Linked DNA regions of Tamandua tetradactyla. The protein of the gene in region 1 interacts with the protein of each later gene in a pairwise test. Links are inferred from orthologs where the notes say so. Each region holds a gene or a part of one and is shown in the gene's direction. Other genes may lie near its edges.

Evidence for each region.
Region 2: the proteins of PRKG1 (region 1) and ZNF646 interact in binary tests that used the Homo sapiens proteins (3 or more experiments, as listed by UniProt). The two-hybrid records come from large-scale screens. The link is inferred for Tamandua tetradactyla from reciprocal best matches to the Homo sapiens genes PRKG1 and ZNF646.
Region 3: the proteins of PRKG1 (region 1) and IRAG1 interact in a two-hybrid assay, tested with the Homo sapiens proteins (2 studies listed by BioGRID). The link is inferred for Tamandua tetradactyla from reciprocal best matches to the Homo sapiens genes PRKG1 and IRAG1.

What each region holds. Positions count from the first base shown.
Region 1 is NC_135339.1:45,949,907-45,960,747, reverse strand, and holds the start of PRKG1 (cGMP-dependent protein kinase 1), read left to right. Parts: upstream 1-4,294; 5' UTR 4,295-4,688; coding exon 4,689-4,999; intron 5,000-10,841. UniProt on the Homo sapiens protein: Serine/threonine protein kinase that acts as a key mediator of the nitric oxide (NO)/cGMP signaling pathway. GMP binding activates PRKG1, which phosphorylates serines and threonines on many cellular proteins.
Region 2 is NC_135349.1:23,460,282-23,471,122, reverse strand, and holds the start of ZNF646 (zinc finger protein 646), read left to right. Parts: upstream 1-4,716; 5' UTR 4,717-5,127; intron 5,128-6,299; 5' UTR 6,300-6,381; coding exon 6,382-10,841. UniProt on the Homo sapiens protein: May be involved in transcriptional regulation.
Region 3 is NC_135334.1:85,486,645-85,497,485, reverse strand, and holds the start of IRAG1 (inositol 1,4,5-triphosphate receptor associated 1), read left to right. Parts: upstream 1-6,187; 5' UTR 6,188-6,697; coding exon 6,698-6,764; intron 6,765-10,841.

The sequences.
Region 1 (10,841 bases):
AAACACAACCATAAGGTATAATCTAATTCAATAGGAGTTAAATGATTAGCAGTGCAGTTGAATTGCTGTGCTTAGTCCATAGGGAGCCAAACTGAGTTCCAGGTTTCTATATAAACAATAAATTAAAAAGACAGCCCAGAATCCTTGACTAATTTATCAAAGTGTAATTAAAATTCTTTTGTCTGACTCACCGGCCCTTACAGTAGGAAGATAATTCCTTGTGCACTATTATGTATTGCAATAGGACAATCGCTTCCCTAAACTATATTCACACAAACATAAGTGGGTTTGTAACGTACCTGAAATAATACATATCATCATCACAGATCTTGTTTGGTTTTACTTTTTCATCTGTAACTCTGCAAGCAAACTTTGAACATATTTTTAAGTAGAGGGACCCAGGTAGGCTGAATTAAATTGGGTGACTAACTATCTTGGTTTACCCAGGACTTTTAATTTAAAAACTGGGACAATGCCAGGCCATTTTAGTCACCCTAAACCAGGGCGAAATACGGTGGAGTGAAGACAGCTTTGGGGAAACATCTTTTAAATACTGTGTTCCTGCTCTTTCAGAATTTTCTAAATTTCTCCTCTTCCTCCAATCCCAATGTAGGGCTACTTAATGCTCATCTTTTCCCTGAATCCAGTACCAGAACTGTCAAGGGCAAGTAAGAGGCTTGAGCTCTGTGCCAGATGGTCTGGATTAGAATCCAGGCTCTGCCATTCTTTAGGTGGGTGATATTGTGCCTCAGTTTTCTCAACTATAAATGGAAATAGTAATACCCACCCTGTAGGGTTACATGAACTGTGCCTCTCGTACATTAAGCTTTAAAGAAATTGTTTATTTTTATTGTGAGCTTGATTATGATTCGCAACTTAGAGCAAGAGGAACTTGCTTCCTCTATCAGTCTTCCCAGGGGTGGCTTTCATTACCCCCAAAGCTCAGCTAGTTGGTTTTTTCCTCCCTGTTTAAGATATACCCATAAAGTGACAAAGGAAACTTCAAATTTAGGACTCTTCCAGGGAATGTAGCATTAGTGGAATGCAAAAGTAGATGATAAAATTACCCTAGTTCTTTTGAGGCTAATTAGGCTTTTAGTGCAATTCTACAGACTATTATTTTTAATAGTATTATGGTAAAGCTGCTTTATTGAATGTCTCATTCAATTATTTGACATTCCATCAAGGAAGGCATGTTAATATTTATTCTTAATCATGAGCACTGGGTGCAAAATAGAAGAGCATATTGGAGTTTAATATGCCACAGCTTGGTTGGGCTATGGTAGCACTTTGCTTCTATGAAAACTGTTCCAAGGGGATAATGTTGAAATGCAGCTTGTGGGTTGACTATGAAATTCCAGAGTATGAACACCATTTCTTTAGACTTGTATTGTTCTGTTAACAACTAACTTCCAAGGCAGAGAGCTCAGTCCACAATGAGTAGTCCATTCCACATTGATGGACTACTTTTCTAATGAGCAGAAAGTAGACTTGTACCTGATTTTTCATCTTGTAATTTAGCCAAATAAGACTACTATAGGACACCTAGTAAAAATGTTATGATAAAATTTGTTTTTGTTGGAATGTAATTGTAGTGCCCTGATTTATTATATACAATTATTTCCAGAATTTGCCAATTACAATGCTAAAGGTGTTTAAGAAAATATTGGAATTGCTTAAATGCTGAGATGGAACCCAGATCCTTAAGATCTAAATGACCTGTCAAGAATATATAAAATGTAAAACATACTTAAAATATTAATTTTGAATTCAAGAATCAAAAGACAAGCCTTGAATTCTGGATTTTGCATTTAATATTATCAAATATTTAAGGGAAATTTAATTTTTTTCATAATGTAGGCTATTCCTAACTGACTATATTCAATTATAAAGAAAATTTTATTTTTTTCATAATGTAGGCTAATCATAACTGAATATATTCCATAATACCTTGAATACGTTTTAAAACATAAGCCAGTTGTAATAGTCATATCTTCTCAGCCATTAATTTTTTTTGTGGTTATTACAACAGATTGTTGAATCTCAGTATTGGATTCATCGTGGAATTTATTTTATATTACAAGGTATTCCACTTAAAATGAAAGTGTAATGTAGATAAATCCTGTAATTGTGTGTGAATATGGTAGCTTAAATAATGGCAATATTCACACATTCTACTTTTAAAATCTCAGTTCTCTTGCAAATACCTGAATATTTTTGGTTGTATTATTATTATTGTTTTATTTTGGAACAATGTTTTTGTCTCTATTTTTCTTTGTATCTATAGCAGGCTTTCTACAAATGAGGAATAATCTTCTCCATTCTGTGCTTCTTAGGGTAACCCTTATTTAAACCTCACATGAACCTTAAAAACCAGATATTGCTTAGGACTTGTCTAATTGATACCCTCTGTACATCCCTTTGTGATATATTTTTAGAGATAAACTCATGGTTGCATGGACCCCTTTAATATATCTATAGAAAAAAATCATTTTGTTTTAAATATTTTAACCATGGAATTAAAGAATTCCTGTAGGTTAAATAAGATACAACTTTGGCCTTTTGTCTGAGAGAAGGAAAATATCACAGTAGCACTTTTAAAATAGACTCATTAATGCAAACTAAGTACTTCTGCTTGGTTTACTTTTAACTAAAACAATAATAATTCAGAACTGTTTTTACTGCTGTCAGTAATTGTAAGTTTTTCATGTTTTGTTCATTACAAATAAAAATGTTTTGGAAATATCCGCTTTATTTATTATATTCTGAAATAAATGCATTTTCCACAATATCTGTGTTGAAAAGCAGAAAAATTGAGTGTCATGCATCTGTACTGAAAGAGAATTAGATCATAATCTGCATGGGACAGTATTTAGGATTGTATATCCTTTGTCATTTACGCTTCTAATTACAAACATATTTTAAACTGAAAAATTTTGTGAAAATACTATTGACTATTTTTCTTTCTTTCTCTCTGTTTTGTTTTCTTTTTTGTTCAGTTGCAAATTCAAAAGCAAAAGTGAGCAAGGTTTTTGAGGTTCATATTTATGTCCTGGGCTAAGTTCAGATTCCAGTGAATGGCTCTGGATTACAATTCAATGTTATTTATTATTATTATTATCTACTTTGTTTTCGTGTTAAGGAATGGCCAAGTAAAACATTAAGGAGGATAACTTCGGGTGCCCCAAAGAGAGTAACTACAGGGCCAGAAAAGATGCTATAGAATTGGATGAGTTGGTTAAAATTTAGGTAAATATTAGGAACTTAGGTTAGATATTAGATAAATGTTTGGGGATTCTAAACATGTGTTTCCATGATGGGAGAGTTACATTTGGACAAAGGTCCTAATTGTCATCCTTTTAGGAAATATTGAGCTGGTAAGGGTGGGGATGGAGTGGGTGGAGGTGGGGTGACAGACTGTATATGTTGTACAGTTTACATCAGGCCTTCTAGACTTTCCTTCCTTTCACTGTATGATTTTTTCCTTCAGAGTTTGTGTCAGGTTTCTCCCTTGCCACAGAAGTGGAAAGATATGGTCCTAATGGCTTGGTTGTCAAAGAAATAATGTTTTGAAGGATACAGCTCAATTTCTCGATGAACTTTTTGGAGCTCGGCGATGATTTTTAAGCCCCACATTTTCAGCAACTGGCAGTGAACGATTCCATAGATACTGGCTCAAGTGGGAGAGAGTGGAGAAGCAGAGTGGCCTTCTGGGGCCCAACTGCCTTTTGGCCATTGCCCTAAGATGATTTCATTAATCTGAGTTTGGACGGGGCGGAAAGGCAGGTAAGTGCGGAGCGGCAATGCTAGTGGATCAAGAATCAAACACAGACCCTCCATCCTCAAAGGCACCTGAGTTAAAAAGAAATCCCTTCCAGGTACCTACTCGCTCTCATCTCTTAAGTGACAAGTTTCTTTTCAAGCGTTAGCCACCTGTGTGAGGCGCTCCTAGTGGGAAGGGTGGCTCGGGGGAAGCTAGTAATCAACCACACAGCTCCGGAGCCTTTCTGGGTGAGCAGGCGGTCAAAACGCCTCCAGAAGTCGGAGCCCTTAGAATGCGGAGTCCGCGCTGCCCTCGCGTGTCTACAGGAATTTAGCCCAATGCCCTCAACACTGGCATGCTTTGGCACCGGCTGACGCCTCCCGTTTGCCCGGGGTCCTCCGCGTTCTCTCTTCCCCACCTCCCCACCCCCCAAAGGAGTGCTCCAGCCTCCCTCCGCCTGCACAGCACCCAGCGCGCCCCAGAGGTTTATCTGGCTCTCCACACGCACCGCCGGTTTCCTTTGGCGCCGGACGCCAGCGACCCGTGTAGACCAGCCGCTGCCTCGGAGCTCCACGTTTCAGTCCCGTTCTCCCTCTTCCCTGCCGCCGAGCCTCGCGGCTCTTTCCCCGGCGCCGCGGCGCCCACTCTGTTTCAGGCTTAATCCCGGGTTGGACCTGCTGTTTTGCTCATCCCCACGCTCAGCCTCCCAGTAAACCCAGAGAAGTACGGTCTGCACACTGAAACTCTCGGTGGCTGGAGCCGGCGGACTGGGCATGCTCAGAAGCCAGGGCTGGCTTTGGTCTCAAGTAGGAAGCTTTTGCACTCGGGAGGCAGCGGCGACTTTGGGGAAAGTTGATCGAAGAGGGGAGGAAGCCCCAAGACGCGGAGCAGCGGCAGGAAGGAGTCCCCGGCTGCCCGGAGGAGCATGGGCACCCTGCGAGATTTACAGTACGCGCTCCAGGAGAAGATCGAGGAGCTGAGGCAGCGGGATGCTCTCATCGACGAGCTGGAGCTGGAGTTGGATCAGAAGGACGAACTGATCCAGAAGCTGCAGAACGAGCTGGACAAGTACCGCTCGGTGATCCGGCCGGCCACCCAGCAGGCGCAGAAGCAGAGCGCGAGCACCTTGCAGGGTGAGCCGCGCACCAAGCGGCAGGCGATCTCCGCGGAGCCCACCGCCTTCGACATCCAGGATCTCAGCCATGTGACCCTGCCCTTCTACCCCAAGAGCCCACAGTAAGCGGGGGTTACGCTCCGGGTCGGTGTGGCGCCCTGTCGGTGGGGGAGCTGCGGGTCTCCGTAATGTCTGTCGGCCCCCGCCCCTCCCGCTTGCGGTGTCTGTCCTCATCCTCTGAAATGTTTCATTTTAATGGGCACTTCTTGCGGGGCCATGCACATTTCTCAGAGCCAGACTTACTGCACATACGTTGCTTTCGTGTCTTTGTCAGATATCAAAGTATTTATTAAAAAAATATATATATGCACATATACATTCTTATATGCCACCTACTGTACATGGAGTTTGAACGCGCCCCAGGTGTGTGTCCGTGCGTGTGTGTATTGTATGCGAGTGAATGTGAGAGGAGGAATAAAACGCCCCGTCTCCCAAATGCCTTGGCAAACCTGCCCATCCGGAAAAGCCTAAATGCAGGCTCATCAGACTTGAAATGAAATGCGTCTGTTACCATCATTACTTTCTATGCTTTTCTGGCTCCCTCGGATTTCTCTACATGGTGGCGATTCACGCTGGCACCCTTCAAACCTGATGTTCTGCCCTCATCAAAGTGTTTTTTAAAAAGCAAATACGCATATACAAGGGGGTGATTTCTTGATTTCCTGAATTGGATGACATTTACAATCCATAAATGGAAACCTAGTCTGTTCATTTAAAATTTTTTTCCTAGCATCTGAGACAATATTGCCTGTTTTCCTTTGCATAATGTTACTAATGGAACGCCTCCATCCCCCACGAGGGTTGCATGTTTTCTAGGGTCAAATATAGATAGGAACACACCTTTATTTTGGATGTGGGCACAGTTTGCCTTGGTTCTAGCCGTTAGTGTGATCACCCTGGTATTATTCTAGCATTTTAGAGAACTGTGTAGTTTTGATGTCAGTGAGCTTCACATAACTTGGCTGGGAAAATTGAATGAAACTTGTTATACAACACTCAACTCAGAATCCATATTGAGAGTAAAGCAGCGGGAGTATAAGGTTAACCTAAAATGAAGGAAAGTGCACGAATGAATGCTATTTTTAATTACCAGATAATGACATTAAAAAGTGAAAGATTTTTCTACTTTATGCTAACTGCATCACACTGTCTGGATGGCACGTGTTACATAATAATACAAGGTCCCTTGGAACCCTTCACATCATAAACACAGAGAGTTAATATAAGAAGAAAGAATATATATTTTATTAGCCCCCAATTGTATTTATTGGATTTTTTGGAGGTCGTGAGAATGTAATAATTGCACTTCTGAAAACTTAGAGTTGTACCTTTGCATGTTGGTTCCCGTGGAGCATTTGCTGTTCCCTGTGCAGCCCCGGGGTAAGGAGGAGTTTGTATTCTTGAGGGACTGGAGAAAGGGTAGTAAGGATCAAACCTTTCTGAGATTTGGACCTGCACAAATTGGCCTTAATAGTTCACCAGACTTACATCTGCCTAAAAAACCTGAGTGGTGTGAAGCCACTTCAGCTTTCTCTGGTAAATTAATTTGCAGTCCTGACATGCTTGCCTGTTTTTGCTAACGAGGTGCATGGCCATCTCTCCTGGGCCAAGTTTTGCATAATGAAAAAATAACTTGAAGACAGCTCTCTGCATCTTTAAGCATTCCATAGGATCTCATTTTAGTGTCTGCAGGACTTCGGAGCAGTGCAGAGCAAACTCTGCTTTTATAAAAAGATTATTTTAATAGGTTTTATAGTGAAGCCTGATAAGCCAGCTGATAACTCCAGTTAAATATGTTAAAGAACTTCTAGGCAAGTGGGGAACAAACTGTAGATTTTGGTAAATTTTAGAAGCTTCTTATTGCCTGACCTGTAGAACTAGATTTTAAAAAAGCCCATTGTGGAAAATGAAATTCGCGTGTAAAATAATTCACAATGTTCCATTATAGTAAAATTTGAGCTAATGAACATTCCTGTGCCGTTTGATATTTAATAACTTACGTTTTACAGGAGTCAGTTATAAAGATATTGCCATGATCATTTTGGTGATTCTGAAGGATTATATTGAAGAAAATGATAGAATGTCTTCCAAGCTTAAATAATTTTGGGAAAACATCTGTTCTTTTTTCACACTTACGTAAAGAAAACTAGAATAAAACTTGGCTGAAGTGGTAGGGTATATTTTTCTTAGGGGAAAGAGAAATATATTGTATGAAAAATGATTATATCTTATATCATTTGAATAGTCATGCACAAGAGTGCCACAAAGAATTAAGGAAACTTGCCAAACTGAAGATCTGTTTGCGTTTCAATTCATTTCACAATGCAAATTCAATTATATAGGTTTAACTGGCAACAGGTTAAATTTTTCACCTTTCTTAAACTTACTCATAGTTTGTTAATGTGAGTTCAAGCTAAAATGAAACTATCTAAATAGCCGAAAATTTGTTTCGAATTCATGTTCATGGTAGTTTTCTATTCTCTTTCCAGTAGATGTAGATAACTTCCCGGCAAGTTTTCTGCTCAATTATCGGAAATACTCATATGTATCAAATATGTTTGCCTAGTTTTTGCTTACTGAGGTTGCCTTCTGAGGATTAGTTTTTTTAAAAAAATTCTGGTTTTAGTGACTTCTGATCATTTCCAGGTAGTATAAAATGTAAATGCACTTACTGAATTAAATCTTCTTAATTGGTTTTGATTTGGAATTTTCCCTTTGAGCTTGGAATTGAGGGGAATGTCTGAGATTTTAGCACAGAGTCCGAGCCCTCCTGCTGTGCCCGTGAGGTGAGGACAGTGACTGTGTTTGTCTTTTCTACCACCTGTATAGAAGTACCCTTGAGTCCTTTTTGGATTATGAACGTGATGCAAAGGAAAGATGAAGCAAATTCAAATCCATATTCCACTGCTACCAAATAACCTAGTTGAGTATGTAAAACTACTAGACCATATGTTTTGAAATAAATTGAGCAAATAAACTTAAAAATTAAAAGAAAACATTCATCATATGAGATCAGTTGGCCTGTTGGTTATGTATTTAGAATCATTCTTTTGGATTTTATTAATTAATTTTATTCCATATCACATCATTCCTGAAAATTTACTCCGTAGTAGGTTACAATATTTACCCTATAGTATTTTGATCTAACTTCTTTACCCTTTGTAAATCGTTCCAAATCCTTTCCGTTTTGCGGACACAGGGTTCCATGTCATTTCAGTTGGACCATACAGCATTGACTTCCCATCAGCAGTTGTTAGTGTGTCTGAATTTTGTTAAGCTGTTGGTTTTACCCCAGAGGTAGCTGAATTTCAGAGAATGACGATATGTTTTGTTGTTTCACTTTTTGATTGTGAAGGACTTCGGAAGAGCTAAGGATGAAAAGAACTGTGTTTTGTTATTTTTAGGCGCCATCAATTTTAAAAAGATCTTATGTGGTCTTTCCTTTAAACTTTGACACTAGTACATCTCAACAGAACTAGTGTCTTCCTGAAGGCTGTAATCCAATTCTATAGAAAGCTGAGAGATTTCTAGAATTCCATTGTAATTGTAGGTGGCATAAAATTAAAACATAGACTTCTTCAAAGGTAGAAATTAGGTTCCAAATGTGTCCTCAGCTCGTTTCAGTACTTTTATAGGAGGACTGCCCTGTGGGAGCTCCCGTAAGATGTTAGACAGGTGAGCAATGCACTGTCAGAACCATCAAAGAGCTAACAAGGGGATAACAATAGTGCACGAGAATAAATATTCTGGAAAGTAGAATATGATAAATCACAGAGAAGATACCTGAGACAGTTGGCAAAATATGAGCAAGCACTTTAAATTTTATGGTGAAGGAAACTCTTGTGGAAGTGGAGTTATTTAAAGTATTTTAAGGATAGGTGAGAGGGGACCAGGTTAGGATAGGGGCAGGGTAGAGACATTCTAAGCCATCAACAGAGGGACAAAACCATGCACAAAAGCAGAAGGCGCTTCTGGGTGTGAGGGGACAACAGCAACTAGTGGCCATACTAGAATAAATGGCCACTAACAATGGCCACTAATGATTTCCAATTAGTGGAAATTGAGGAAAGCAAGTTAAGACGAGAGAGACTGAGAATCTCAGTTTTTGTGATTTTATAAATCAGGAGGGAGGGCATTTCTGCTAGTTTTTAAAATAAACAAGAATCCTTTTAGCTTTTTATTGTTTATTTATTTTTTAATTTCGAGGACTAATTCTTCTGCATTAAGGAAGCTCTGAATCTCAGAATGTTTGTCCAACCCTCTACCCACCCCTTTCCCACCAGCACAGTCCTGATACCAGGCATAACTGCCCACCTAAGGAAGAGTATTTGATTGAAGCAGGCAGCAGATGATTAAAAGTCTTGAAGAGACCGAAGTCCACTCTTAAAGAAACCAGGTTCCTTTTCCCACTCATTTCAAAATGTGCACATAGAAAGTAACCTAGTCTTATGCCACAGTCTGGCATCACAGATTCCTTGCATACCAGGGCAAACTGGACGTAGATGAGAATTGAACCTGACGTTGGCTTTTGAAATTCATCTTTCCTGTTTTCGTGGCGGCATTAAATCCCAGCCTAATGTTATTCTAATAGCCTCTCCGATTTAAGTTTGGTCAATAATTTGACATCACAGTCTATGAAGTAAACTTGAAGTCATGAAACCTTTATAAAAATGTATGAGAACAGGTTGCTAAAATCCTGTTAGGGTGTTTTTGAAGCACAGTTGAGTTGTCTAACCCTGAAATGGGGTTTATAATGAAAATACTGACAAATGCTTCAATAGAGTCACTGTAAAGAATGCCTGAGAATGTAAATGACTGGGTTCCCTGCTCTACTGAGCCACATTTCCATGCTTCCACTACTTCTTGTTATTTCACTAAAGAGTTGGGTTGGATTTCCTAATGGGGAAGGGGAGAAGAAGGCAGGCAATGTTTCGGTTGTTGCTGAGTGCAGTTTATGAGGCATATGGGCACATTTTTTAATTCTGTCTGCCTAGCAATGGAGGGTCTCCATGGTATCCTAGCAACCAGATTTGAACACCAGGCTGCTGCTCTTTCTGCCATCTCTCCCCTAGGTGCTGCTGCCCATCCCAGGGAACTGGGCCTGCTGCTAGCATCCTGGACTCTCTGACTTGAACCTTCTGATCTCAGAGAAGGCAAGACAATGCGCTAAATAAGCACATGCTGAAAGCAGCATTTACCAGTCCACTCAACAGCTTATTATGCAATCACATCTGTGGCATTTTGAATCCTAATCTGAATTGTTGAGCTGGTGCTGCTTGCCACCCCTTCCCTGGCAGCCGTTCTCTCCTTGCTCACACCCACCCTTCTGATACCAGTTCTACTTTCCCCTTACCGTCTTCTATAATGACTATGTTCCTTGGCATCTCCTTAAAATTTATTTTCTGAGAAGTTAAATATGTGCAGCCTGTTTGAGCTCTCTAAGTCTAATTTTGTTTGTAAGAGCTGAGGAATGTCCTCCTTCCAAAAACTGTCAAGTAAATATAAACAATAGGGCAAAAATTGCAGCTACACAGATGTTCAACTAAAGGTGGGACTAATAGCACAGTCTCAAAAATGTCTTGTTTCTGAACGGATTTTATAATCATAGTTATTAATATGAGAAAAGCATGAGAGTAGGGTGAGAAGAAGAGATGTGTGTCATAGGGACAGAAAAGGGCAAAACAAGTAGTCTTGTTAAAGCTGGATCACATTTGCGAGGAAGTTGGAAAGGAGTGATGTGCTTTATGGGTGAGTAAATAGTGCTGTGACTGGAACAAGATTTGCAAGATAGTACTTTGTGAATGAAGGCAGCAATAGGGAGGAGGTGCCCAAACTGGAGGATATGGAAGGCTCGGTTCCTCTGGAGCCATACCAGGATTTCACAAAAAACCGTTAAGAGGTTTC
Region 2 (10,841 bases), on another chromosome or scaffold:
CTCAGTTTCCCCCACAATCTAGTGAGCACAGGCAGCGAAGTCTTCTCTCTAAAGTACCACGCAATGCTCTCAGTCCCCTGCTCAAGATTTTTCTCTGTGTCCTATCATACCATTCACCCTCCCAAATCTGTCCTGGCTGTTTCAAATTTCAAGAGTCCTTTGTTTGATCCCACCTCCCTTGGGAAGCATTTCCTGCATGTTCCCTTGTAGGTTTTTTTTCTGTTGTTGTTTTTGGTGCATGGTGCAGGAATCGAACCTGGGTCTCCCACTTGGATCCCTTCTAGGTTTTGACCCCCAATCCCACACAACTCTTCCACCTTCAGGTTGGTTATATCACTTTCCCACTAAATCCTGGGACTGGAGGTAAGTAAAACGGCTTGAGGTCCAACCTTCCTCACAGCTTGAATTCTGCCTATGGTTTCCAGGGGGTACCCTCTTCCTCCCTGGACTAGGCACTCAGTACCTTCCTTCCAGACCATCTTTGGAGAGTCTGCCTGATGGAAAGCTTCTCCTTAATACAAATGGTAGATCCTGTTTATTGAGCACTTGCTCTAAACACCAATGCTCTAAGTGTACTGACTCACTTAACCTTCAATTCAACACTACGAAGAATGTTCTATGATTACCCCATTTCATGGATAATAAGGGAACTGAGGCCTCAGACGTGGTATAGCATTGTGGTTCCAGTGCAGACTCTCTGAAACCAAACTGCCTGGCTGTGCATCTTGATGCCATCACTTCCTAGCTGATGTGGCCTTGGGCAATTTACTTCATCTCTTAGGACTCCAGTTTTCTAATCTTAAAAATGGAGATAATGATAGTAGGCTAAGGATTGAATGAGATAAGAACAATTACTGCCCTCAATTACTGAGACTTCTGAGAGCCAGCACTTTGCTGAACCTGCTACCTTATTTAATTCTCTCCTAGCTTCCTGAGATAAGAATTATTGTCCTTATTTTACAGAGGAGGTTCCAGGAGGCTCAGCAGTTTGTTGACTCAGCTAGTAATCATGCAGCTGACACTTGAATTCAGGTCTATTTAACTTGTCTTCTCTTAGGCCCTGCTCAGTTGTCTTGGTTTCCCAGACTTGGCTGTTGCCCAGAGCAGCCCCATAGTGACCAGAACCCTGAGGTCAGGTCTTACACGTGTTTTTTTTTTTCATGCCTGTATAACTGTGTTGAAACCGGACCCAGTACCCTTCATGGTCCAGAGGGCTGGGTCCATGGCCCCTACACTCCCTACTCCTGGACCTGGGTCTCAGTCTTCCTATTTGTGACCCGGAGACCAGAGCGTTCAAGGGCAAATCCCTCCTCCTGAGGTTCTTCCCAGAAGCATAGGTAGGGTAGTGCCTGGTTGGTCCCAGCAGGTACCCACTCCATGAAGAATGGAGGGCCAGGTAGGCTAGGTCCCAGCCTAGAAGCCCACCATTAACATCCCATTTCACTGTTTACGGGGAACTCTTTCACCCACTCTCTAGAGTGATGTTTCTCCAAGTTAGGTCTGGAAGCCCCTTGCATCAGAATAATCATCCAGGAATCTGTGCTTTAAACACACTCTCTGGATCATTTCAAACCAACACTTAAGAAACCAAGACTTCAGAACCCTAGATCTTCACCAGCTCCTGGGAGGGAGACACTTTTACTCCACCCCTTTTACAGATGTGAAGACTAACACCGACTTCCCCCAAGGGAAAAGAATATGACCACCCGCACAGAGAGCCAAGGAGGCTTTCTCAAAGATGCCTGTTGAAGACCCAAGTCTTCAGGTCTCTGGGTTGGGCTGGGCTGGGTCTTATTCTACCAGTCTTCATTCATTCAAGGTTGATGTGGCCAATCGTGAGACTTTCCACTACTCCCTTAATAAAGACCAGTATCTTTTGCATTGGTAGCAAGGCCCCACCACTATCTAGCCCCATTTAACTCACCTCTCCCTCCTCTTTCCCCCGGCTCACTAGGCTCCACCCATACAGTCCCCTTTTCTTTTCCTTAAAGATCTAAATTCTTTCTACCTCAGAGTCTTGGCATCAGCAGTTCCCTCTGCCAGAACCACTATCTTCCCACCCGGACTCTGATCTAGCTGCCTCTTTCATTTGGTTCTCAGCTCCCTGACACCTCCACAAAAAGGGCTTTCTTTCCTCAGTGCCAATCACTCTCTGTATCCTTCTAATTTCCTCTAAGGTACTCATCTGGATAACATTCCTTGTAAGCTTACCAGGTACCATTCTGAGCATTTTATGTGTACTACCCAAATTAAGCCATGCAAACTGCCTAGAAATGAAACAATTTTATTTCCCCTATTCTATAGATACTGAGACACATGGAGGTAAAGGAACTCTAGTGCATGGTCATAGTTAATATTCAAAGCCAGGTGTTTACCAGATCCTTGCTTTGCTAGCATTTACACATTTTACAGCTTGCTTGATAATTCTCTGTTTCTAGCACCAGAGTCCAGGCTGGTGAAGAGCAGGAGCCTTAATTGTCCTGGACTCTGGTGCTACTCCTAGAACCAGGCTGGGCACTCTAAAACAAACTGAATGTGCCAACTCTGAGATGGAATACGAACCCAGCTCTGTAGCCCCCGCCTTTCTCATAGTACTAGTTTAAGGAGCTTGTGAGGCTGCTGGTCAGCAACCAATTATTAACTGACTTCTCTGTCTTTCCAAGTTCACAAGGTCTGAATGTCACTTCAGTAGCTTGCAGTGGGCTTATTATTCTGGTGATGGAGCCTTGTCTCAGTGTCATTACTACTTTGGGGGGAAAGAAAGTTCTGTTGCCTGAATAGGCTCTAAACACTAGGGATGCAGAGACTTAATTCTCAGAGAGCTTAGGCTAGGACCCTGGGGGTCAGAGTGAGAAAGGAGCCATTTTTTGTCCTCTCAGCACCTCTAAACAAACAGCACCACCCAGGCCTCACAGCTGTGAGAGATCTGGTGAGTTGGCAGATGGGGAACTGTGCACGATAACCAACCATCCTCTAGGCCTCCAACCTGGTCAGTTCTCACCTTCATCCCAGCCTATCATTCCAGCCTAATTGAAAGGCAGCATTCCCTACCAGCCAGGGCTCCCTTCTCATACTTCCCCACCTCAATGCACCTCCACATGCGTTTCCTCTGCTTTGGGAGCCCTTGCTTGTCTTATCCCAAGGGAAAACATTTGCATTCTTCAAAAATCCCCTTCACCACTGTCCTCAGGCATAGTTCACGGGCACTGGAGGTAGGGGTCCCACTGCACTTTGGGGCTCCTTTCTCCATCGTAAAATGAGTTTGAAGGGCATTAGGAACACAAGTCACACTGAGGAGAGGCCGAGAGCAGCAGAAACGGTCTCTAACTCAACGGCCCTCACTCTGCGACAGCCTACGTGTCGGCGCTTTCGCCAAACTGGGAGTCCCCGCAGGGCAGGGCCCTCAGCTGACTCATTTCAGAATAAGACCTCGGAAAAAGTGGCCTCAGAGATCGTGACAAGAGGAATGAACGATGAGTGAGGAAAATGAACAAATGAATGGACGGAAGGCCGGACGCGGGACAAAGACCTGCAAAATGGTGCTCTCTAGGACCGCGGGAGGGGCGGCCAGGGGCTCGGCCGGGGAGGGGGACCGCAGGTACCCGGACGCCGCTGGGCGGGCCGCAAGACGGGGACAAAAGCCCGCAACATGGCAGGCTCTAGGACCCCTGGGCCTACGCCGTGCAAGGCCGGCAGCCGTGCGGGCCGAGTCCGGGTGTCCGCGGGCGCAGGTCCGTAGTGGCAGCCGGCGGGCTCTAGGACCCACTAGGCCTGGTGCCCTCCCGCGCCTGCCTGAGGCCACTCTCCTCCCGCCCCGCGCGCGCTGCCCGAGCCGGGCCGGCCCCGTCCACCCTCCGTGCCCATAGGGAAACTGAGGCTCGCTCGGATCACGTTCACGCCGAGGCCGCCCGGGCATCTGCCAGCTCCCTGCCGTCATTTCCTACCTGAACTGACTCAGACTGGCTCCGCGGCGTCGGCTTCGGCTCCTTGCACTGACGGAGCCCGGGACACTGCCAAGGAAGGGCTGGCGCTAGGACCCAGCGCGGGGGCGGGGGGGAGGGGGAGGCGGGGCCGGCGGACCGGCAAGCGGAAGTAGAGGGGAGTTTTCCCGGCAAGGAAGGAAGGAAAGGTTTACAGGAGCACCCCTAACCGCTGATGGCCGGGAACCATCTTCAATGGGGTCTCTGTAGGAACTGAGGGCAGGAGACGCCGGACAGGTTTACGATATACACCGGGCTATTGTTCGCTTGGGGTCGGGTCACCAGAAATGTCTCCGAGAACTAGAAGGGCCGTGCTCAAGCTTTATAATACCTAAATCCGCTTATATGCCACAACGTTTCCTTTAATAGCAGGGATTGAATTTAATGAGGCTTCCTCCATCGGTCTTGGGAAGTGTCTTCCAGGGAGCCTCAGGAAAAGTGTCGCTAAGGTATTGAAGCCAGGGGCTGCAGAACTCTTTTTTTCCCTCTTCTGCACTTGTCCAATATACACCGGGACGATTTTAGCGCCTTGCGCCGGAAGTGTGGCTAAGGTTAGTGCAGAAGAACGGAAACGCCGTGACCTGCATGGGCGGGACCGGAGTCGTACTTGTCTATTTCTCCTCTAGGGCCGGAAATGTGTCTGTGTAGAACGGCTGATTGGAGGCGGGGCAGGAAGTGTTCCTGAGGCGGGAGTGGGGGTGGGGCGCGGGTTTGCGGGGAAGCTTTTGCGGTTCGGACACTTCCTGTTTCCTAGTAACAATAGGAAGTGTTCGAGGAGCTGCGGGATAGACTCGCAGCTCGCGTCAGCTGCGCCCTTTTTCTCCTACCCTCTTCTTTCTCACGCCCTTCTCTTTCTTTCCCTCCCCTCCCACCTCCTGGGGGAGCCCTAACTGAGCGTGCGTGCGCGGGAGCGCGAGACCCCCCACCGCCAACCCTTAGGGCGCGCGGCAGCAGTTAGGGTGAGGGTCCCAGTGCGCAGGCGCTCTCCCGTTCGCGGTCCCACTACCCGCCGCCCGCAGTCCCCAACGGGCGCGCCCGCGGCGGGAACGAGAAAGGGCCGTCTGTGTGAGGTAGGGGGCCTGAGAGGAAATTGGCAGTGGAGAAGAGTGAGGGGAGAGAGGACTGTTGAGCACAGGGGCTTTGTGAGGTGAGACTTCGGGGAGCAAGTTTACTGAGGGGCTTTAGAGTCGGAGATAGGAGTGGGATTAGGGTCCCCTGAGAGTGAAGAGTCAGATTTGGAGGAGGACGAGGTGAGGTAGGAAGCGGGAAGGGCTGCTGTGGAGAGAGCAGAGGCTTTGCAATGAAGACTGCTCATCTTGGGTAACAGGCATTACTGAGTGTTTGAGAATTAATTGACACAGTGAATATGCCTTGCTTAGCACAGTGTCTGGCACATGGTAAAATTCATGAGTTGCTGTCATCATCGTCGGTGTTGAGAGGAGAGAGAGAAAAAAGGGATGGTGTGGAGGCATAGGAAAGAAAATGATGTAGGGGATAATGAACAATCTGAAATGGGATGGAATTTTCCAAGATGGCAGATAGTTTAGGTTCAGGGGGAAAAGGTAAAGGAAGTGGCCAATAGAGACTTTTAGGAAGTAGACCTTGTGACACTGAAAGGAATAGGAAGGTTGGGGACCAAGCCAGCCCTCTCTCTGAAACAAGGCTCTTAAGCTATCCTCTCAAGCCTTCAGGTGTCTCCTAGACAAAGAGGCTGTTTTTTTCATTGCCTCTAGACTCTATCAATAGATAACGCTCTTTAACTGAGGGGTGAAGGAAGAAAGATTGGATTTCTCTTATTGAAAGGCCCAGAAAGGGTTCTCGTTTCCTTTTAAAAAGTGTTTTGATTGTGGTAACATATAAAACAAATTTCTCATTTTATCCATTTTTAAGTGTATAATTCAGTAGTATTAATTACTTCACAGTGCTATGCTCCCACCCTGGTTACCTTGTAAGATATTAGGGGAGATATGTTTTGTTTTCCCCAGAATTATATAGAGCAGAAATTTAGGGATAGTAAGACCTTTTTGATCTGGTCTGAAGAACAGGATCAATAGGTCTGTAATCAGAGAGGTAGGTCTTATCCCTCTCACCTATAGTTTATCTAAAATTTGAGGGAGTAGTTAGGCCTAAGGGAGCTCACACATTTGGGGAACTTGTATGCAGGGAGGTCTTGAATAATGTTGCCTCTACATTAGATCCAGAAAGCAGGTCTCTGGACATTGATGCTTAGTGAGCTTCTCTAACCCCTGAACTTGTTGCTCATAGAGCCAAGAGGCAGAGTTAATTTGTGCCTATCTTATTACTGCTCCTTCTTCCTAGGCATTGGCCCCTCCATCAGAGAAACATGCTGTTGCCACCTGCCTTTGCTTGCTGAACCTTCAGATTTCTACTGTGCTGCCCCATGGAGGACTCACCTGCTTCATTCAGCTGCTCTGACTGTCAGCGCCACTTTCCCAGCCTCCCAGAACTGGCGCGGCACCGAGAACTGCTCCATCCATCTCCCATCCAGGACAGTGAAGAGGCTGATAGTATCCCCCGACCCTACCGCTGTCAGCAGTGTGGGCGGGGCTACCGCCACCCAGGGAGCCTGGTCAACCACCGCCGGACCCACGAGACTGGCCTTTTCCCCTGTACCACCTGTGGGAAGGACTTCACCAATCCCATGGCTCTCAAGAGCCACATGCGGACTCATGTGCCTGAGGGCCGCCGTAGGCACAGGCCCCCACGTCCCAAGGAAGTCACCCCTGTTTTCCAGGGTGAGATGGTGTCCACTGACTCCTGGGGCCAGAGGCTTAGCCCAAGGGAAGGCTGGGAAAGCCAGACAAGGCATACCCAAGAGATACCTGCCTCTGAGTCTGGGCCTGACCCCAGGGCAACCCTGGGTACTTGGGCAAATCCATCTGCCAGACCAAGGGATGAATGGGAAAGCCAGCCAGATCCTCAGGAGGGCACAGAGGGCTGGGGACCCACCGCCAACTCTGCCAGAGTGCCACCTCTCCCCACCCCAGCAAGCAGTCTCCTTAGCAATTTGGAACAGTATTTGGCTGAATCAGTTGTGAACTTCACAGGGGGCCAGGAGCCCACCCAGTCCCCTCCTGCTGAGGAGGAACGGCGGTACAAGTGCAGCCAGTGTGGCAAAACCTATAAGCATGCTGGGAGCCTCACCAACCACCGCCAGAGCCATACCCTGGGCATCTATCCTTGTGCCATCTGCTTCAAGGAGTTTTCTAATCTCATGGCTCTGAAGAACCATTCCCGGCTCCATGCCCAATATCGGCCTTACCATTGTCCCCACTGTCCCCGCGCCTTCCGGCTCCCCCGGGAGCTGCTGGAACATCAACAGACCCATGAGGGTGAAAGGCAAGAGCGGCCATGGAAAGTGAAGGGGATGCCTCCCACCAACGGGCACACAGAGGAAAGCAGCCAGGACCAGGTCCCTCATACAGAAATGGTGAATGGTACTGGGGAGCTTAGTACTTCAGGGGAGCTAGAGGACAGTAGCCTAGAGGAGTATCGACCTTTTCGCTGTGGGGACTGTGGCCGCACTTACCGCCATGCTGGGAGCCTCATCAACCATCGCAAGAGCCACCAGACAGGTGTTTACCCTTGCTCCATCTGCTCTAAGCAGCTGTTCAATGCTGCTGCCCTCAAAAACCATGTACGGGCTCATCACAGACCCCGGCAAGGGACCAGGGAGGATGGGCAGCCATCAGTCCCACCAGCTCCCCTGCATCTGGGTGAGACTACTGCCAGAGTGAAAGAGGTCCCTGTCACCACCCTGGAGGACCATCGCCCCTACAAGTGCAGTGAATGTGGTCGGGCTTACCGCCACCGGGGGAGCCTGGTGAACCATCGGCACAGCCATCGGACAGGAGAGTACCAGTGCTCACTGTGTCCTCGCAAGTACCCAAATCTCATGGCCTTGCGTAATCACGTGCGAGTGCACTGCAAGGCTGCACGCCATAGTGTGGGCCAGGGTGCAGACTGTTCCCTCAGCCCCCTCAAGGTGGAGCTTCCACCTGACCTGGTGGGAGCAGAGGCAGCCCCACATACAGATCAGGGGCATGGATGCAAACATGAAGAGGAGGCCACCAGTATCCCCCCGGCAGCAGATGGGACAGCACCACAGATCTGTAGTGTCTGTGGGATGCTCTTTGAGGACCCTGAGAGCCTGGAACATCATAGCTGGACCCATGGGACAGGGGAAGGGGAAAAGAGCAGGGCAGAGACCAGGATGTCACCTCCTCGGGCATTTGCCTGTCGAGACTGTGGAAAGAGCTACCGCCACTCAGGCAGCCTTATCAACCACAGGCAGACCCACCAGACAGGGGACTTCCATTGTGGGGCCTGTGCCAAGCACTTCCACACCATGGCTGCCATGAAAAACCATTTGCGACGTCACATTCGACGGAGGAGCAGGCGGCATCGGAGGCGGGCAGGAAGTGCTGGCAGTGGGGGCGGAACCAAACTCCCGTCAGAGGGGTACTGGGCCCAGGAATTGGTGGATGACCACAAGGACCCAGACTTTTCTCAAGATCCTTCAGGTGAAAGACCCATTGAGACTGAAGGCAATTTGGAAAGTGATGGGGATTGTTTGCAGGTTGAATCAGAGGGGGACAAATGTGGACTTGAAAGGAATGAGGCCCGTTTCCAGGGTGATAAACAGAGCAGAGGCACTGAGGAAGGACTGGAAAGAAAGGCCTGTTTCCTTGACAACTTGGACATCCCAGGGGATGAGAGAGGCGGTGGAGCCACCTTCTGCCGTGGCCTCACTGGGATAGATGAAGATGAGAAACCAGCCACTGGCCAACCCACATCCCCTTCCCACTGTCCTGAAGCTGTTAGCAGCTGGGAGGCTGAGGCCTCCCACACATGTTCTGATTGTGGACATTCTTTCCCCCATGCCACCAGCCTGCTGAGCCACAGACCCTGCCACCCACCAGGCATCTATCAGTGCTCTCTCTGCCCAAAAGAGTTTGATTCTCTGCCCGCTCTGCGCAGCCACTTCCAGAACCATGGGCCTGGGGAGGCGGCCTCAGCACAACCTTTTCTCTGCTGCCTCTGTGGCATGATCTTCACTGGCCGGGCTGGGTACAAGCTTCACCAGCGTCAGGCTCACAACTCCTCTGGTATGACTGAGGGCTGGGAGGAAGAGGGGGAAGAGGAAGGCACAGTGGAAACAGCCTCTTCCCATAGCCCTCAGCTGCAGCTCTCGGAAGCAGAGCTGCTGAATCAGCTGCAGCGGGAGGTGGAGGCTTTAGATGGAGCCGGCTACGGGCACATCTGTGGTTGTTGTGGCCAGACCTATGATGACCTGGGAAGCCTGGAGCGTCACCACCAAAGTCTGGGTGGTGGTTCTGGGCACACCATGGACAACTCTTCTTGTCGCTTAAGAGAAACAGTTGAGGCTGTGGAGATGGTTGCAGATGATACCTATGAGGACACATTGGCTTCTGTCTCTGAGGAGTGTGCAGATACAAAGTCTGGAGAGGGAGTAAGTGCCACCATTGCAGGTGGCCTTTGCATGCAGGGTAGTGAAAGTTCCCCGGAGGCCCAGCCCCGCCCTTTCCGCTGCAACCAGTGTGGCAAGACCTATCGCCATGGTGGCAGCCTGGTGAATCACCGCAAGATCCACCAGACTGGAGACTTTGTCTGCCCTGTCTGCTCCCGCTGCTACCCTAACCTGGCTGCATACCGTAATCATCTACGAAACCATCCCCGTTGTAAAGGCTCTGAGCCCCAGGTGGGACTCAACCAGGATGCTGGAGGTAGCAGTGAGCTCCAGAATGTGATGGAAGGACTGGGACAGGCAGAAGTGGAGACATTCCAGGAAGAACTTAAAGCCGAGCCCCCAGAGGAAGTGGCAAGGGTGAAAGAGGAGGCATGGGAGGAGACAACTGTGAAGGGGGAGGATATGGAGCTGAGGTTGGAGACAGCAGAGAAGGGCTGCCAGACCGAGGCCAGCTCTGAACGTCCCTTCAGCTGTGAGGTATGTGGCCGCTCATACAAGCATGCTGGAAGCCTCATCAACCACCGGCAGAGCCACCAGACTGGCCACTTTGGCTGCCAGGCCTGCTCCAAGGGCTTCTCAAATCTCATGTCCCTCAAGAACCACCGGCGCATCCACGCAGATCCCCGACGTTTCCGCTGTGCTGAGTGTGGAAAGGCCTTCCGCTTGCGGAAGCAACTGGCCAGCCACCAGCGGGTCCATGTTGAGCGGCGTGGGAGTGGGAGCACCCGAAAGCTGACTCGGGAAGATCGGCCCTTCCGTTGTGGGCAGTGCGGACGTACCTATCGCCATGCTGGGAGCCTCCTGAACCATCGGCGCAGCCATGAGACAGGTCAGTATAGCTGCCCTGCCTGCCCCAAGACCTATTCAAACCGTATGGCACTAAAGGATCACCAGAGGCTGCACTCAGAGACCCGCCGCCGGCGGGCAGGGCGGTCTCGGCGGGCAGCTATGCGCTGTGCCCTCTGTGGCCGGGGCTTCCCTGGCCGGGGATCTCTGGAGCGGCACCTTCGGGAGCATGAGGAGGAGGCCAAACAAAAGCTAGTTAGTGGCCAGAGAGGCCCACCTGGCACAGAGAGCAGTGAAGGGAACCTGACTGATGCCCAGGCACTGGTGGGCAGATCTGGCAGTGAGTCAGAACCCCACTTGGAGGATGGAGCCACGAAGCCAGGGGAGCACAGTCAGAGTCTTTACAGGGCAGCAGGTTCAGAAGCTGCAGGGCCTCTGTCCTGGGATGAGGGGAAGGCTCATGGGTGGCAGGCAGACAGGGAACCAGTGAATCACGATGAAACTTGGGTTCCTCTGGGAGAGGTACTAACCAAGACAGAAGAGGAACCAAGGGACAGGGTCCC
Region 3 (10,841 bases), on another chromosome or scaffold:
TTTGATTCTCTATGCCTGTCATTTTTTATATTTTTTATTTCATTATCTCTTTGTTCTGCTTTATGGAAGTAAACCTCCTGCCCCCAAATTGAAATTTTAATTTTGGCAATAATATTTTCATTTCATTTCTTTCTTATTCTCTCATTGTTTCTTTTTCATAACATCCTGTTTTTGTCTCATGAGTGCAACATCTTTTGAATAATTCTGTAGATATTAGAATTATTTTAAAATTCATCTTCTGTTTCTGTGTTTTCTCCATGGTCATGTTTTTTGGCTCATTTGTTCATTCAATCTATATTTATTGAGGGCCTACTACGTCCAAGTACTAGTCTAGATTCTAGGGAAAGAGTGATGGACAAGATAGACAAAAGTCCCTGGCCTCATGAAGCTCACATGAGAGAGGATATGGGAACTAGAGAAAACAAATAAATTAATTAAAACATGAAATTTGTCAGATAGTGATAGATGCTGTGAAGGAAAGTATAACAGAAAAGATGGATTGAACTGTTAGTAGTCGGGGGGGGGGAGGTTTGAGGAAGGCTTTGCTATTTTAGAGTGATCAGGGAAGGCCTCAGTAAGAAGGTGGCCTTGGAGAGAGACTGGAAGGAGGTGAGGGAGTGAAGCATGTGAATATCTGAGGAAAGAGATTTCAAGGCAGAAGGAAGACTATGCTTTTTGTTGTTGTTTCCCCCCTTTTCATGGGCTTTCCTTAAATATCTGCTCATCCTTAACTACCTATATAAAAATGAGGCAATAGAGAAGTCAACTGCAATCTTTGAGTGGGCTAATAATCAAGGCTAACCACAGGTGGTTCACAGGCTAGTTTTGCTGAGGTTTTTAAACTTTGCTATATTAGAATTCCCTATGGGGGAGAAGATTTTCAATATCTTAATGCCTGGGCCACAATCCTTGCTAATTAAATCTGAATTTTTGGAGATGGGACCTGGGCATCAGTGGTTTGGAAAACCCCCAGGTGATTCCAATGTTCTCCCAACATTGAGAACCAGTGCTTTAGAGCAGTGGTTTACAGTGGTGGTATTTGGAATCACCTGGGAAGTTTTAGAAAATAACTAATGCCTGGGGCTCTGACTCAAAGCAATTAATACAAAATATCTAGGAGGGGGGCCTGGACAGGAATAGATTCAAAATCTCCTCCAAGTGATTCTAATAAATAGACAATGTTAAGAAACTCTGCTTTAGTGAATGATGGTGGGACACTCTGTCTTGTACCCACCCCCGCCTCCCACCCCCATTTCAGAACGCAGAGGGTTTTATTCAGAGATAATAGCAGCTTCCATGGTAGCTATTCTAATTTATCCCAGTTTATTCAGTTTCCTTAGAGAAGAATGCTCTGTTGCTATTGTTTTTGTTGTTTTTGGTTGTGAGAGCAAATGCATATTGCCAAACTGGCTTTCTGTAAGCAGGATTAGAAGAAAGAGTGAGAGGTGAGGGGAGATTGACTTTTTTTGTCTGCAGAATTTTTGAAGTGACTATATTGAAATTTGCCTGAGAAACTCCAACCTCCTCCTTTTTTATTTTTTGCTATAGTGTCAGACTTAACAGAAAAATTGCAAGAATAGTACAAAGAATTACCGTGTATCCTTAACCCAGATCCCCCAACTATTGATATTTTGTTACATTTGTTTTATATACAGATATTGCTGGAGTCTTTAGGGCAAAAGAAAATCCCTAGTTATTTGTTGCATTCAGTTATTATTTCTTTTAAGTCTTCTTATATTTGGAACAGCTCTTTGGTCTTTGTTTGTCTTTAATGACATTCATGTTTTTTAAGAGAACTGCACAGTTATTTTGTTGGATTTGTGTTCACCTGTTTCCTTATCATTAGATTCAGATATTTCATCTTCGGCAGAAACATCACAGAAGTAATGCTGAATCCTCATTGCACCTATCAGAAGATACATGCTGTCAGTTTGTCCCATTATTGGTGATATTAATTTTGTTCACTCTGTTATGGTGATGTCTGTCAGTTTTCTCCACTGTAAAGTTATTATCTCCTCCTTTATAATTAATAAGTGTCTTGTGGGGAGATACTATGAGACTATGTAAATATCTTCTTACTCCTTAAACTTTCAACCATGACTTTCAGCATCCATTGATGGGATTTTTGCCTGAATCAACTATTAATAAGATGGTTAATAGCTACATTCTAATTCCATTATTCTTCTACATTTATTGGTTGGTATTTTACTGTAAAAAAGAGCTTTTCCTTCTCCTCCATTTGTTTGTTTATATCATCATGGGCTCATGGATTCTTATTTTATCCAATAGGTTATAATTCTTTACTATTATTGGCAATACTGATGTTCATATTATCTCATATTTGGTCAATGGGAGCCTTCAAGTGGTTTCTGTGTCCTTTTGACATGTTTTCCTTTTTTCTGAAACACAATAAGGTATTTTTTTCCTGGCACAATAAAGTGATCCAGGCTCATTTTGTACTTTCTCATACTTTACCTGTCCAGGCCTAGAAACATCTATTTCGTCAAGGAGGTCTGGTTCCTTTTATTAGAAAATGGTATTTATAAGCCAAGATGTTGGAATTAAGCGTGCTTATAGCTACTGGGGTATTATTGCTTCCAGGCCCTCTCAGTAGAAATAGCTAGAATATAGGTGTATGTTTATATGCACTCACACATGTATGTATGCATATAAACATAAATACATGTGTGCATACATCTGTATCTATATATCTATCATCTAGTTTGCCTATTAGCTATCTATCTAGTTCACTCCAATACCTAAAATCCCGACTACAGCACTATATAGTTTATCCTATCCCTCTACCTTTTCCATATTTGTAACTTCCTTCAACAGTAAGTAATTTGGTTCTCATGATCCACACCATATTTACCAATTTTCTTATTCCTAGAATGTATAGAAAGTATTTTCAGAATTGTTAACCCATATATTTGTGGAAAAAAGAGACATCTATTCAAAATTTGTTTATAGTTCTGTTTCACTTTAATCTGAGGGCATCTAGTCCAAAGGCTATGTACAAAAGTCACTGGGCTTCATTCTTTTTTCCCCTCCTTCTGTCCACAGACTTTTAAACATCCCCTCTCTGTTTCCTCCATATCTCCTTTCTGTCCTTGTCATATCTGGCTTTTCAAGTCCGGAACTCTCAGAGGCATCAGGAAGATGAGTTCCTTTCTTGGCTAGAGTCTCTCTCTGTGTGTCATCTCGTGCTAGGCTGAGGCCTCCTTCTCCTGCTTCATTGGGCACCACTCCTCTATCCTCTTGCCAGCTTCTAGAAATGTGTTCACTTATGGCTTCCTCCTGTTCACATTGTGGCTAAGGATTGATTCCTTTTTAAAGAGTCCTTTGCTATCATTTTAATGGTATTATAGGAGGGAGAGGAGATAGCATGTGTTTCCAGTCTACTGTCTTGACCAGACACCTAGGGACCCTTGAGTGAGAAAGATCTGGGTTTGCAAACTGTGAAGGCACTGGTGAGATCCTTGACCATTCCAGGTCTTAGTTTCTGTATCTTTGTCATAAGGATGAGGAGCTCTACATTTCACGGACTTGATGAGGACTGAACGAGACCATATAGGTAAAGTGGCCAGCACAATGCCTGGTACCATGTTTAGTAAATGATAGCTATCATCATTGTCCAGATGCAATTCCTGCTGATTTGGTCATTTATTTATTCACATACTCATCTAGGGCCTACTGAGTGCTGGGCACATCCAGAGTTCTTGAGTTTAAAAGGAGCAGGGAAGTCAAAACTCCAGTGAGGTCATCCCAGCAATCAATCCCAGAGTTGGTAATGTTCTTGGCAAGAAGCTGCTTCCCTTACTTGGCTTCCCTTTGTCCCAGGATATGCTTTTTGCCTGAGGCTTTTAGACTTTTCCCCTGCCTTGGGTCAAATGGCCTGTGGGGAGCCTCCTCGAGCTGTGTGGCAGTGTGCCTCTGCTGGCCCACTGCTTTATGCTGAGGACACATGACTGTCTCTGATGGGAATGAATGATGAGCTGGAGATTTTGGTACAGTGAGGACAAATCCCTGTGTGGCTCCAGGAATGAAGATAAATATAGCCCGAGTAATTGCTCATGCTCTTTTAAGGATTAAAAGTCAGCTTTCAGGCAAGCTGTGAAGCTCAGTGACTAGGACAGCAAAGGGGCAGTTCCTTTTATAGAAGAACTGTGCATTGCATGGTCCCAGGCCTCCACAATACTATTCCTATGGGAGTAATGAGGTCGCCTTGCTAGTCTACACACCATGAGGGCAGGGACAGATCTGAGGCTAGGTCTCAGGTGTTCCTAACATGTCCCATCATCCAACACTTGATAAATACTTTTTGAATGAATGAATGAACGAACTATGAGAAGGTTGTATTTTAAAATGATCTTTAGCATAAGAGCTGTAGACTAGTTAGCCGTAATGTACCAATATCAATTTTCTGCTTTTGATATTGTATGTCAGCTATATATCACCATTGGGGGAAGCTGGGTGAAGAGTACATTGGAGTCTTTGTACTATTTTTGCACCTTCCTGTGAGTCTGAAATTATTTCAAAATACAAATTTCAAAGAAAAACCTTTGGTCAGGCTCATACCAACACTCTTTGATAGTTGATGAATTGATCACATCTTAACAAACAGCATTGCTTTTGTCTTATTATTTTAAAATGTCAACACATGATTCATTCATGTTGTTCAAATTTTCAAACATATAAATAAAGCATACATGGATAGTCTGTCTCCCAGTAATTTAGTTCCTGTTTCCCTCCCCATAGGAAACATGTTAATGTTATTCATTTCTTGTGCTAATTTTAGTGAGACTGTATACACACACAAATGTATCTGATAGCATGTATGTATGAATATATTTGTCTGTGTACATATATATATATTTATTTTTTCACCCAAATAGTGACATTTGATACCGTGTTCTGTTATCTTACTTTTTTCATTTGACAACATATCTTGCAGGCTTTTCATATCAGGGTATGAAGAACTTCCTCATTTTTTGTTATGCCTATACACCATCCTCTTTTATGGCTCCCCACTGATGGACATCAATGCTTTTACAAATAATGCTGCAATGAATAATCTTGTTCATTTGTCATTTCTCAAGTGTGAGAATGTGTCTGTATAATAAATTCCTAGAAGTAGAATTGAGTTAAAAGTTATGAGCCTTACAATCTTGATGGAGCTCAACTTCCTCTACAGAGCTTGTTCCATTTTGGACACCCACCAGCAATGTGTTTTATGAAATGCTGGTGTTAGAGCAGTGATTAAAAACAATCATTTGGTGACACTTTTGTAAGTCTGGCCCTCTATCCAAGAAAAACACAAACCACACAGTCACACATTTTCAGGTGACTCAGAGATCCCTGAAGGCTATCCATGAAATCCTGCTTAAGAAATCCCTACTGAAGGGGAGGAAGTGTAGTCAAAGAGAAAGCTTTAAGGCCAAACACACCTAAGTTCACATTTTAGCTGCACTACTTACCGACTGTGGAGCATCAGACAAATCATTTATCTCTTCAAGCTTCAATTTCTTTTTTGAAGGAAAGGTATAATTCAGTTTCATAGGGTACTTATGAGGATACATGCATGCTTTTATGTAAAGCATGTAACAGTGCTTGGAATACAGTAAAGCATATAACATAGTGCTTGGAATGGTTTTTGTGTGTGTGTGTGTGTGTGTGTATACACACAAATAATTTTTCAGTATAAGTTATGTCCCATATAACATTTGGGGCATACTTATACTGAAAAAATTATGTGTTCTATATCTGTAATTCAAATTTAAGTAGGGTCTTGTATTTTATCTGGCAATCTTACCATGCCTGCTCTGTGTTGCTTCTAACCCCAGAAGGGGGATGGAACCCCCATGTGACTTGCTTTAAGCCTGGAGGACCATGATCTTGACCTCAGATAGGGCACTGCACCTGAGTTGGTGAGGAGCGAGTAGGGACTAGCAGGGTGTAAACTGGCGGGAGGATTTGCCCTTTCTCAACTGTAACTTGTCAGGGGCAAGAAGCAAATTCATGCTGATCCAGCATTTAGGAGATGCTGGCATTATCTCATTTAATCTTTCTAAAGACCCTATGAGTTAGGTGTTATTATTATGAGTCCCACTTCATAGATGTGGATATTGAGGCTTTGTGATGCGAAGACCACAGGGCTGTCAAGTGGAGGAGCAGGGATTGCAGCTGGTGCCAGGGCTAGGTTTAGACTAATCTTCTAGGCACTTCTCTGCAGTACTTCCAAGGCTTTAAGGTGGGAGTAGCATCTGTTCCCAGGTCCCTGGGACAGGAAATGTTCCCAGATTCTTCTGGCTCTGGGCCAGGGTCCTGTCCAGGCTCCCGGACTTGCTGCAGACTCATGAGTGGGAGGCGGATCTGCAGCATCTCCTTTGTCCCCGCCTGGCCAGAGACAGTGCCCGTGGCACAAGCTGCCTGTGGGCACTGCCATCTGCCATGTGGGGTGGGGGTCATGGGAGGGGCCCAGGGCAGGGTGCTGCCTCACAGGCCCAGGTTGACCTGAGCCCTGAGGTTGCCAGGTCAGCTACCCCACCTTTAACCCCCAGAACCCGGTCAGGGGGGCTCCCCGAGCAGCTTGCGCCTCTAAGTCCCAGCCCCTCTCCAAGGAGGCGGGTGGCCGAGGCACAGCAGCCAGAGGCTTCTCTGCTCTGAGCTCCGGAGCCAGATGTAACATTGACCTTAAATGGTAAAAGCTCCCCAGAGTGAAGAGAGGCTGGCCAGAGGAGGAAAGGGGAATAACTCAGTTTTAGGTAAGTAGCCGCTATATCTGAGAATAATTTGCCTCTTCGTCGGGGAAGCGGAGGGAAACTTTCTCCTCCTTAAAGGTACAGGGTGCTGGGACGGGGGCGCTTAACTTTTATCTTTACAGGGGAGTTGACTTTGTTATGTGGTATTTAGGTTGGAGTATTTTTATTATAGCTGTTTTAATTTTTAAATAAGAAGTGAATCTTGTCAGTTCTAATTTAGTTAAAGTATGCTCCTTTTGCTTGCTGTTGGAAAGCATGCACAGGTCAGGGTGGAAAATGTTGCTTATGATTGGAAATTCCTAACCCCAGCTTTTCTGTGGGACCTTTTGGGGAATAGAGGGGTCCTCTGAATCTACTAGCCTGCTAGGCAGGGCTGGTTTCCCACCACCTACTACCCCTCTCCCAGCCCTACTCTGTGCTTCCATCTGACCCCCTGCCTCGAACCTTGTCCCAGCCCATCCCTTTCTCCATCCTTGACCTTGCCTCTGTTTCTGCACTGTCCTGCCTGTCCTGTGTTCTGTTAGCAGCCCCTGCTTTCATCTCTGTCTCTCTCTTTGCTTCTGTCTTCAGTTTCTCCCAAGTCTGTGCCCCAAGCTGTGCTCACCTCTAGAGGCTCTGTGTCGCAGCTATTCCTAGAGCGAGCTGCGCTTAGACTGACTTTCTCCAAAGGAAAGGCCAGTGGAAGCCCGCAGAGAGGCACCAGCTGCCTTTCTTCCTGCTGTCCAGTTAACAATTGTAAAAGCCCAGAGAGACTGTGAAGTTGAGTAAACAGCAGTGTGGAATCTGGGGCCCCTGGCCAGTGCTCCAGCTTCCTAGAGCTCAGCAGCCACTGCTCTCTTATCACTCTTCAGGCTGTTCACTGGGGTATCAGGGCAAGTAAAAGCAGCCCAAGGGCTTGTCTGAATTGGTCTCCTGCAGGTAAAGGAAGAAACTTCCTAGGACCATTAGGCTTGAGTAACAGTATGGAACCAATACTGCTAAGGATTATGTTGCCTCTACCAGAGTAGACAAGAAGTTCCTTGATCTTTATGACACACTAGTAAGGCAGGTTGAGTTTTACCTACCAGCCCTCCCCCCACTTTTGAGGGGTTAAGTGACTTCTTAAGGTCATATCACTAAGAAGAAGCAGAGGTAGAATCTGAACCCAGGTATGATTCTAACTTCAGTGCTCCCGCAAGTATAAGTGTGCATTCCCGCCTTGAGTAGTGTCTTGTGATTTTTGATGTAACGGACAATACAGTTGTCATGTTTGTTTGGTCCATAGTTCAGTGATGTGTGTAGGGGGTGGGGGGTGGTCTGTCCTGGGGGTGGCTGTTTGCATTCAGAGCAGATGTACCTTCCTCTATGCATGGTAATAAGTGGGGCATACACTGAAAGAGAAATTTCTTGCACATTTACCCTCTAAGATCATCTGGGAGATATTAGTATGCACTAATTCCTACAACATGATCAATTATCTCTATAAACATGTTTTCTGGGAATAAAAACCAAGCACTTAGATAGTTCTTACAATGTATTGGATACTATTCTAAGCACTTCATATATGGTAGCTCATTTACCACTCCCACAACCACACAAAGTTCGATTCATATCATCATTCTGGTCTTGTGGCTGAGACATTTTAGCACACAGAGGTCATGTGGCAGTGAGGTGGAGCAGGTGTTTGACTCCAGGCAGCCCATCTCAGGAAGCTCTGCTCTTAATCCCCATGTTGCACTGATCTCCATTTGGTGCCATTTCTGGGAGGGCAGTGGGGGTGGCACTGTGGACCCGAGGCTTTTAATGTATGCTCTCATGTGCTCCTTACAGCAATCCTAAGGGATGTATCTTTACCCCAATTTTACAGGTGTGGACACTGAAAACCAGGAACTTTAAATGACTTGTCTAAAGTCACCCAGCCAGACAGAGCAGGGGTTAAGTAGTATTTTGGGTGAGGACAATGAGGTACATTCTCCTTGAAACTGAATTTCCATGGGACCCAGTGGACTTAGTCATGCAGGGAGGAGGGATTCGCTGTGAGAAGAATCCAGGTTCTTGTCTGGTGAGTGGAATTATACATAGCAGGGATCTCAGCTTCTCAATAAGTCCCCACCTCTTTCCTCTAAGCCTTGGTAATGAAGGTGGATGGATGTACCCCACACCTCCAGTAGGAGTGTAACTGAGCCCTGTGTGGGCAGAGACCCCATCTTTCTCCCCACTGTTTGTCCTGTGCCCAATGTGATGCTGGGAGTATACTGCATGCTCAGGATCAATTTTGGTTTTGGATGACTACATGAACATAGAGCTCAAAGTATGTTCTGATTAAAAGGGGCTCTGGATTTATTATGTGTATGTGCCTGAGAAGCATATTTTTTCAGTCTGCCTTGAGAGGATGCGCGGTATGGATCTCAAGTTATCCACACTGTGCCATTCCTGCCCTCACCATCCCACCCTGTCACCCATCCTGGGTAGCCCCAAAGGGCCATGTGGCTGCCTGTCAGTCAGCCTTTCTATGTCTTGACTGTCAGTAAAAGGATTCTATGTGCTGACCCAGGAGAAACAGAGGCCCAAGCACATTGGGAGGAGATCTAGGAACTCCAGGCTCTATTCCTGTCTGTTATTTGAATCAGGGGGAGGGAGATGGAGCCCTGAGTTCTTGTGTGGGAAATGTTAGAAGAAAGAAGAAAGAAAATTGTTACTGAGATCCTACTTTGTGCCAGGATTTGTGCTAGATAGGTTATTTGATTTAGTTCAACATGAGGACATCGCTTCTCAAAGAGATGAAGCAACATGCCCAGGGGCACACTGCTGGCCAGTGATGAGTGGGGATATCAGCTCTGGCCACGTTGCACCAAAGGTAATACTTACAGTGTTTGATAGACTGTGCTGTTAGTTAGTAACCCAAGTCCCAGGGGTAGTAATCGGTGTAACAGACTAAATGATGGGAAAATCTAGAAAAGAGGGAGAGTGGATATTGTGTTTGCCCCATGGATCTGAGTTCAGGCAGTGGACCTGGGCAGCCTCACTAGATGAGCTCTTCAGACACAGAGCCTTAGCAGAGGCACCACATGCCCATAACTTTGGACAATCCCTGCCTTCTTTGTAAGGGCCTTCTCCTTGGGAGAAGGGAAGCAGCTGTTGGTCAATCAGCCAGTCAGTCAATCAGTTTGTTAGAAAATCTTTCCTCCCATTTGACCCCAGATGTAAAAAATGGTTTGCTGAGGTTGGACTTAATCTGCTCTGGTTACTTTTTTCCTATTAATTTTTAATTCATAATTTTGATTCATTTTTTTCTGTTAATAAAAGTACGAATATGACTTGTAAAATATAGAATTCTGTATTTCATAAAAATACAACAAATAAGAAAAGACAAAAATAAATATAAAGAAATAAAAATCCCTCTATGATCCTATCACTCAGAGATAACTACTACTACTATTATGATTTGTTTTTTGCCTATCTTTATATTTCTCTGTATTTTATAAAACTAGGGTCTTACTGTATGTATAGTTTTGTAGTCTTCTTTTTAAAAATGAGCATTGTATCCTAATCATTGTTTCATATCATTAAATATGCTTCAAAACATGATTTTTCAATGTCTGCATGATATAGAATAATTTCAGCTGTGCAACAGTTGGATTGTTGTTCCTTCCTTCTTGGGCATTTACAAGTGTGGTCTTTCTTTGAGGACACGCTCAGAGGTACATACAAGGTGGTTCTTTCCATATATGTATGGCTTTTGGAAACAGCTCTCACAGGTGGGCTCATGAGGTGTTTCCCGAGGTCGGCTTGGTCTGCAAAATGATTTAAATTAGAAACTGATAGTCTGAAACATATGACATCACACTGTGAGAAAGTTATTGACCATTTAAATTCTTTTCAGTCTTTCTGATCAAGGAGAAAGCCTCCATCTGAGATAGGGTAACCAACTATGCCTGCTTGCCCAAGAATGAGGAGCACCTCAGGATTTCCAGTGCTAAAAAGAGAAAACAACCAGGCAAACTGGGAAGAGTTGGTCAGCCTCATTTGAGCCTAATGTTCCTCTTACATCTTTCTTACACTTGCTTTTCTTCCTTTTTTTTTTTTTTACAAAATGAGAGC